Linked DNA regions of Saccharomyces cerevisiae S288C. The protein of the gene in region 2 binds, or shares a complex with, the protein of the main gene of each other region. Each region holds a gene or a part of one and is shown on either strand. Other genes may lie near its edges. A codon is read from its position in the direction of its gene.

Region 1 (3,922 bases), on a different chromosome or scaffold from region 2:
TGCATGACGACCGTATTTGCGGTTCGCCAGTAGTTTCTCTCTTGCAGAACCTAATTGTGTAGCGGATGACTCATAAGACTTGCCAATTGGATGCTGATCTGCCCTTACCAGCCTTCTCTTTTTGTTGTAGTTCACGGGCAACTTGCTCAGTGCCTCCGAGTCTATATTCAAGTTAGTTGGCAGCTCAAAAGTGTATTGTTTCTGGTTGATGACGTTTGAGTAACGGTCAAAAATGGACGTTTTCTGTTTGGCCACGGTAATCTTGGAGGATTTGTTGTTGATATTGCCATGGATAGATGATAAACGGCCTGTGTTTGCCAGTGGTAATGACTTCTTGACAGGTGGCGGGGTTTCTGACTTCTTGGGAGATGCGTTCTTGTTCCATGTCCAATTTTGTCTTTGCTGCCTCAATCTTGTAAGACGTTCCCTGGCAGACTGTAAGTTAAAAGAGTTAGATTTGAAAACAGCCTGCACCAGAGTTTGAGAGAAATCGGGGAACTCTCTCGCAAGGTTAACCAGTGCTACCTCAGGACTCCCAGATGGGAGCGGCTTCGAAGTATGAGCTCCTTCGCTGGGATCTGAAGGCTTGAAAGTAAACCTGCTTCTCAAAGACGCCACACTTGCATCCGGAACTGTTGGCGAAGTAGGCTTTAAGGGAGACGACGATGCTACCTTGGTGGGAGAGGACGTCTCGGGCACTTGCACTACGTCATCCTCATCATTTGAATGCGAACCACTCATGTTTTCAACTATAGCGTATTTTCTCTCTTTTTCTTGTTTACGTTCCTTACTGTAGATAGTCGGGTGTCCACCAGTAGCAACAAACTCGAATATAGAGCACTATAGCACACGCCAGTACTGATTTAAGTTACGTGTTGCATTGCGAGATGGGCTCATGATCTCTTTTAATCCTACAAAGTGAAAAATTATGAAAAATTTCGCGGCGACGGGGGTAACGCAGCCGTTTGAGCCTTGATAATGCAGGCAGATCCAAAGCGCAAGTGATGGAATGTGATCATTAAAGGCTATAACAGGCTTGTATCGATGAGTTGTGTGTATGCGTTTGGGTCTAATGGGCAAAGGCAACTGGGACTGGGGCACGATGAGGATATGGATACCCCACAGAGGTCTGTGCCAGGAGATGATGGAGCAATAGTCAGGAAGATAGCGTGCGGTGGGAACCACAGCGTGATGCTGACAAATGACGGGAATCTGGTAGGATGTGGAGATAACAGACGGGGAGAACTGGATAGTGCGCAAGCACTGCGGCAGGTGCATGACTGGAGGCCCGTGGAAGTACCGGCACCCGTGGTGGATGTGGCGTGCGGCTGGGACACGACAGTTATTGTGGATGCTGATGGCCGTGTATGGCAGAGAGGAGGCGGTTGCTACGAGTTCACTCAGCAACATGTGCCATTGAATTCCAACGATGAGCGCATCGCAGTATACGGATGTTTCCAGAACTTTGTGGTGGTGCAAGGCACCCGAGTATACGGCTGGGGCAGCAACACAAAGTGTCAATTGCAAGAGCCCAAATCCCGATCACTGAAAGAGCCCGTATTGGTGTACGATACCGGGTCTGTGGCCGTAGACTACGTGGCCATGGGCAAGGACTTCATGGTCATAGTGGACGAGGGCGGCCGCATAGTGCACGCATCCGGTCGCCTGCCCACTGGGTTCGAGCTCAAACAACAGCAAAAAAGACACAATCTAGTGGTACTGTGCATGTGGACCTCGATCCACCTGTGGAATGCGCGCCTCAATACGGTAGAGTCGTTTGGTAGGGGCACACATTCCCAACTCTTCCCGCAAGAGCGCCTAGACTTCCCTATTGTCGGTGTTGCAACCGGGAGTGAGCACGGTATTCTAACTACTGCTAATCAAGAAGGCAAGTCTCACTGTTACAATGTATACTGCTGGGGCTGGGGAGAGCATGGCAACTGCGGCCCGCAAAAGGGCTCCCAGCCTGGACTGCAGCTCGTGGGCCAATACTCTGGAAAACCTCGCGTGTTTGGCGGATGTGCCACCACGTGGATCGTGCTCTAGCACTGATAAGTAACTATATACCCACTATCATATACATAGATGTCCATTCAGCATTAATTCTCATCGTGGTAGATCTCAAAGGTAAAGTAGCCGTTTAGGCCTTTTGTTATCGCCCGTACTTGCGAAAAACGGGCCAACAACGAAAAAATTTGAAAAAGTTTCCACCTTAGAGAAGGTTCTCAAGCACAAGGGCACAGCATAAGGGACACCAGCAAGGGAACTCCGACTGACGTTATCCCTGCAAACTACCGCTAATGAACGACCCTTCTTTACTAGGCTACCCTAATGTGGGCCCGCAGCAGCAACAGCAACAGCAGCAACAGCAGCATGCCGGGCTACTAGGAAAGGGTACACCAAACGCTCTACAGCAGCAGCTACACATGAACCAGCTCACCGGGATACCTCCACCGGGACTCATGAACAACAGCGATGTACACACTTCCAGCAACAACAACTCGCGCCAGTTGCTCGACCAATTGGCTAATGGGAACGCGAACATGCTCAATATGAACATGGATAACAACAATAACAACAATAACAACAACAACAACAACAACAACAACGGCGGTGGAAGCGGGGTGATGATGAATGCCTCCACAGCCGCAGTAAATTCTATAGGGATGGTTCCTACCGTTGGTACGCCTGTGAACATCAATGTGAACGCCAGTAACCCTTTATTACACCCGCACTTGGATGACCCTTCTTTACTAAACAATCCGATCTGGAAGCTTCAATTGCATCTGGCTGCAGTGTCCGCACAATCTCTGGGGCAACCCAACATTTATGCTAGACAAAACGCTATGAAGAAGTATTTGGCTACACAACAGGCTCAGCAAGCTCAGCAACAAGCGCAGCAACAGGCACAGCAGCAGGTCCCGGGCCCATTTGGCCCCGGACCTCAGGCTGCACCACCAGCTTTGCAGCCCACCGATTTCCAGCAATCTCACATTGCAGAAGCCTCCAAATCACTGGTAGACTGCACAAAGCAAGCCTTGATGGAAATGGCCGACACTCTCACCGACAGCAAGACAGCAAAGAAACAACAACCTACGGGAGATAGCACTCCCTCAGGCACGGCAACTAACAGTGCAGTTTCTACACCATTGACTCCCAAGATAGAGCTGTTTGCTAATGGCAAGGACGAAGCCAACCAGGCGCTCTTACAACACAAGAAACTGTCTCAGTACAGCATCGACGAAGATGACGACATTGAAAACAGAATGGTCATGCCCAAGGACTCGAAATACGACGACCAATTATGGCACGCGCTAGATTTGTCCAACTTGCAAATCTTCAATATCAGCGCCAACATCTTCAAGTACGATTTTCTAACGAGACTATATTTGAATGGCAATAGCCTCACGGAACTGCCAGCGGAGATCAAGAACCTAAGCAACCTACGCGTTTTGGACCTGTCGCATAATAGGTTAACATCTCTACCAGCGGAACTAGGCTCATGTTTCCAATTGAAATACTTCTACTTTTTTGATAACATGGTCACCACATTACCATGGGAGTTTGGGAACCTGTGTAACCTTCAGTTTCTTGGTGTAGAAGGAAACCCCTTAGAAAAACAGTTTTTAAAGATCCTTACAGAAAAATCTGTCACGGGATTGATTTTCTACCTAAGGGACAACAGACCAGAGATTCCCTTACCGCATGAACGTAGGTTCATCGAAATCAATACCGATGGGGAACCACAGAGGGAGTACGATTCTTTGCAGCAATCCACTGAGCATCTGGCCACCGATTTAGCCAAGAGGACGTTCACCGTCTTATCCTACAACACCTTATGTCAACACTATGCCACCCCAAAAATGTACCGTTACACACCGTCGTGGGCGTTAAGTTGGGATTACAGGCGCAATAAATTAAA
Region 2 (3,922 bases):
CAGGAATAAGAAAGGTAATTTAATTAGGGCCGCTTCTTTCCAGGACTCCACAATACCGGATGCGAGGGTCCAACCAGATCGTCGTTGGTTCGGTAACACAAGAGTGATATCTCAGGACGCACTGCAGCATTTCAGAAGTGCATTGGGTGAAACCCAAAAAGATACATATCAAGTTCTTCTGAGAAGAAATAAGCTTCCCATGTCATTGTTGGAAGAAAAGGACGCAGATGAATCCCCAAAAGCCAGAATTTTGGATACCGAAAGTTATGCTGATGCGTTTGGGCCCAAAGCCCAAAGAAAGAGACCACGTCTTGCTGCATCCAATCTAGAGGACTTGGTCAAGGCTACAAATGAAGACATTACCAAGTATGAGGAAAAGCAAGTCTTAGATGCCACATTAGGACTAATGGGGAACCAGGAAGACAAAGAAAATGGGTGGACCTCCGCAGCAAAAGAAGCTATTTTCAGTAAGGGTCAATCCAAACGTATTTGGAACGAATTATATAAAGTCATCGATTCGTCTGACGTGGTAATACATGTTCTAGATGCAAGGGATCCATTGGGTACCCGTTGTAAGTCCGTGGAAGAGTATATGAAGAAGGAAACACCACACAAGCATTTAATTTATGTTCTTAATAAGTGTGATTTGGTACCTACCTGGGTTGCAGTATGTTAACTTTTTTTTTTTTTTTTTTGATTCTTTCCAACCAAGAGGATAGCACGAGAGATTTTTTTTTTCGATAGAGTATGATTTTTATTACCAAACCTTTTTGTCAGGGTGCTTCTCTATCCGTTTTAGGATAAACTTATCTACAGAAGTGTCTGTTACTGTTTTGGAAGAGTAATACTGTTCGCTTATCCATATTTCCCCGTTCTGGGGAAGCCTCATGGGTAAATTAGAAGGACAACCTTTGTTTTAAAGGTATACCTTCGCTTTTTAGAACAGCGAGGATCTTATGAGTTGAGCTTTTGTTATTTGAGACTTTATCTCGGGCTCCATACAATATGTTCGTAGTAAAGATCCTCACAATTTTCTACTTTTTTTTTTTTTTTAGTTTAATCCACTCTTCGAAACAATCAATCTCGGCTATAACAATGATTATTACATTCTCTTGGGGCAAAAGATTACCTATTATGAAACAAAATGTATTTTTTACTAACAGAAGGTTTTTTTTTTTCAATTCTAACTTTACAAGTAGGCAGCTTGGGTCAAACATTTGTCAAAGGAACGTCCAACTTTGGCGTTTCACGCATCTATTACCAACTCTTTCGGTAAAGGTTCGTTAATTCAGTTGCTACGTCAGTTCTCACAGTTGCATACTGATAGAAAGCAAATATCTGTAGGGTTTATCGGCTATCCAAACACTGGTAAATCGTCCATCATTAACACATTGAGAAAGAAAAAGGTGTGTCAAGTTGCACCAATCCCTGGTGAAACTAAGGTCTGGCAATATATTACTCTTATGAAAAGAATTTTTTTGATTGATTGTCCAGGTATTGTGCCGCCTTCTAGTAAAGACTCCGAAGAAGACATTTTATTCAGAGGTGTTGTCAGAGTCGAACACGTCACACACCCAGAACAATATATTCCAGGTGTTTTAAAACGTTGTCAGGTAAAGCACTTGGAAAGAACTTACGAGATCTCAGGATGGAAGGATGCCACGGAGTTTATTGAAATTCTGGCAAGGAAACAAGGTAGATTACTGAAGGGTGGTGAGCCTGATGAGTCTGGTGTTTCTAAGCAAATATTGAATGATTTTAATAGAGGTAAAATCCCTTGGTTCGTCCTTCCACCTGAAAAGGAAGGGGAAGAAAAACCAAAGAAGAAAGAAGTTGAGAAGACGGCATAGAGGTAAAAACGGACAACCGGTGTATAATATTAATTTAAGATTACAAGTGATTTTTTTTTTCTTTTTTTTTGTTATTTTTTTTTTTGTTCTTATTATATGGCAGCAAACATTCTTGGGGAAACAACATAGATGGGTAATTATTTAGTTTATAAAGTATAATATTCCAATAGAAAACTTAAGTTCGGTAATGATATAGCCCTCTCTATAGTATAAGGTAAATCTCATTATACCAGTCATTCCAAACGGAATTCGGTCCTTACCCGCTGCTCGCTCTTTTTTCATCATTATGATATTTTCTTTATTGAGTCTTTTCAATTATAGTAGTAGAATGATAACTGACAAGAAAGATCAGTTTGAAGTTTATTAGCGTGTCTCGTTATCAGGGCTTCCTTGTTTTTCATACTGGAAATACTTCGAACGATTAGAAACAGGCAACTCAATTTTATACATTTATAAAGGGTCAAAAAGGATTATGCAATCTATGAATGTACAACCGAGGGTATTAGCTGTAGGAGGTGAGCAGTTTTTCTCTCAGAGGCAGGCTTCTGAACAACACCAGCAGCAAAACATGGGACCTCAGGTGTATTCGCCAAAGGTTAATAGAGCAAGAATGTTTCCTCAAGGGATGCCTGTAAATACAATTAATGGCTCTGTTAATCAGGAGATGAACAATGCCTATCTTTTGAAGCAGAAGAACGAGCCACTGTTAACTCAGCAACAACAGCAACAGCAACAACAACAGCAGCCATTTAATATAGGAACGCCTGTTTCGGTGGCTAGTTTGCCGCCCGGACTGAACGTTCTGCAGCAACAACAACAGCAGCAACAACAACAGCAGCAACAGCAGCAGGGAGTGGGACTCAATCGTCCCTTGGCTTCCCAGCTACCCAAGCATTTAACCAACCAAAGTATGCCACCGATCTTTTTACCACCCCCAAATTATCTTTTCGTTCGCGATGTCTGGAAGTCCAACCTTTACAGTGAATTCGCCGTTATAAGACAACTGGTCTCGCAGTATAATCATGTGTCAATCAGTACTGAGTTTGTGGGGACTTTGGCTAGGCCGATCGGCACTTTCAGGTCGAAGGTCGATTACCACTATCAGACAATGAGGGCCAACGTAGACTTCTTAAACCCAATACAACTTGGTCTTTCCTTGAGTGACGCCAACGGCAATAAGCCTGACAACGGTCCCTCAACGTGGCAGTTCAATTTTGAATTTGACCCAAAGAAGGAAATCATGTCCACAGAATCGTTAGAATTACTCAGAAAATCAGGTATCAACTTCGAAAAACACGAAAATTTAGGCATCGATGTATTTGAATTTTCGCAGCTTCTAATGGACTCTGGTTTAATGATGGATGATTCTGTTACTTGGATCACATACCATGCGGCATATGATCTAGGTTTCCTGATCAACATTCTAATGAATGACTCCATGCCCAACAACAAGGAGGATTTCGAGTGGTGGGTCCATCAATACATGCCCAATTTCTACGACTTAAACCTGGTGTATAAAATAATCCAGGAGTTCAAGAACCCTCAATTGCAACAATCTTCACAACAGCAACAGCAGCAGCAATATTCACTAACCACACTTGCCGATGAGTTAGGGCTACCAAGATTCTCTATATTTACTACTACAGGCGGCCAGAGTCTATTGATGCTTCTATCCTTCTGCCAATTGAGCAAGCTGTCTATGCATAAGTTCCCAAACGGTACGGATTTCGCCAAGTACCAAGGTGTCATATACGGTATTGATGGGGACCAATGATCATTTATGTACTATATGTATACACAATTTTAAAAAAAAAAGTTTAAAAGCAACATCAGCTTATGATTGGACATGTAGTAATACAGATTGGTTCTTCGATGCAATAAGCACTCTTCCACAGGAGATTGATGCGTTATTCCCGTATAGTTATCGGTCACGTGCGCTGTAGTTTGTTTAACCATTTATTTTTTCTTGGAAATTTTTTCGTCCAAAGCAGCGAAAAACATCAGGTGGCGATTAATGAAAGAATGACATATTGCAAGCAGCATAACCGTCCATTCCAGGGATAAGAGGAAGT

The links.
Region 1: the proteins of POP2 (region 2) and CCR4 are in contact, whole or in part, in a crystal structure (PDB 4B8C), measured with the Saccharomyces cerevisiae proteins. Residues at the interface, in NP_014450.3 of Saccharomyces cerevisiae: Thr194 (codon at 2,902), Leu195 (codon at 2,905), Ala196 (codon at 2,908), Arg197 (codon at 2,911), Pro198 (codon at 2,914), Ile199 (codon at 2,917), Gly200 (codon at 2,920), Thr201 (codon at 2,923), Phe202 (codon at 2,926), Arg203 (codon at 2,929), Gln211 (codon at 2,953), Arg214 (codon at 2,962), Ala215 (codon at 2,965), Asp218 (codon at 2,974), Phe219 (codon at 2,977), Asn221 (codon at 2,983), Lys253 (codon at 3,079), Lys254 (codon at 3,082), Glu255 (codon at 3,085), Ile256 (codon at 3,088), Met257 (codon at 3,091), Ser258 (codon at 3,094), Thr259 (codon at 3,097), Leu262 (codon at 3,106), Asn325 (codon at 3,295), Asn326 (codon at 3,298); in NP_009381.1 of Saccharomyces cerevisiae: Asn175 (codon at 2,823), Tyr177 (codon at 2,829), Ala178 (codon at 2,832), Asn181 (codon at 2,841), Asp332 (codon at 3,294), Asp333 (codon at 3,297), Leu335 (codon at 3,303), Trp336 (codon at 3,306), His337 (codon at 3,309), Ala338 (codon at 3,312), Leu339 (codon at 3,315), Asp340 (codon at 3,318), Leu341 (codon at 3,321), Leu344 (codon at 3,330), Gln345 (codon at 3,333), Ile346 (codon at 3,336), Phe347 (codon at 3,339), Asn348 (codon at 3,342), Ile349 (codon at 3,345), Ser350 (codon at 3,348), Asn352 (codon at 3,354), Ile353 (codon at 3,357), Tyr356 (codon at 3,366), Phe358 (codon at 3,372), Tyr363 (codon at 3,387).

The regions. Positions count from the first base shown.
Region 1 is NC_001133.9:111,738-115,659, reverse strand, and holds the start of CCR4 (CCR4-NOT core exoribonuclease subunit CCR4), read left to right. Parts: upstream 1-2,300; coding exon 2,301-3,922. Other genes in the region: DNA-dependent ATPase FUN30, read right to left, coding at 1-741; ATS1 (Ats1p), read left to right, coding at 1,045-2,046. UniProt on the Saccharomyces cerevisiae protein: Acts as a catalytic component of the CCR4-NOT core complex, which in the nucleus seems to be a general transcription factor, and in the cytoplasm the major mRNA deadenylase involved in mRNA turnover.
Region 2 is NC_001146.8:719,048-722,969, reverse strand, and holds POP2 (CCR4-NOT core DEDD family RNase subunit POP2), read left to right. Parts: upstream 1-2,322; coding exon 2,323-3,624; downstream 3,625-3,922. Other genes in the region: putative GTPase NOG2, read left to right, coding at 1-667, 1,200-1,850. UniProt on the Saccharomyces cerevisiae protein: Acts as a probably catalytic component of the CCR4-NOT core complex, which in the nucleus seems to be a general transcription factor, and in the cytoplasm the major mRNA deadenylase involved in mRNA turnover.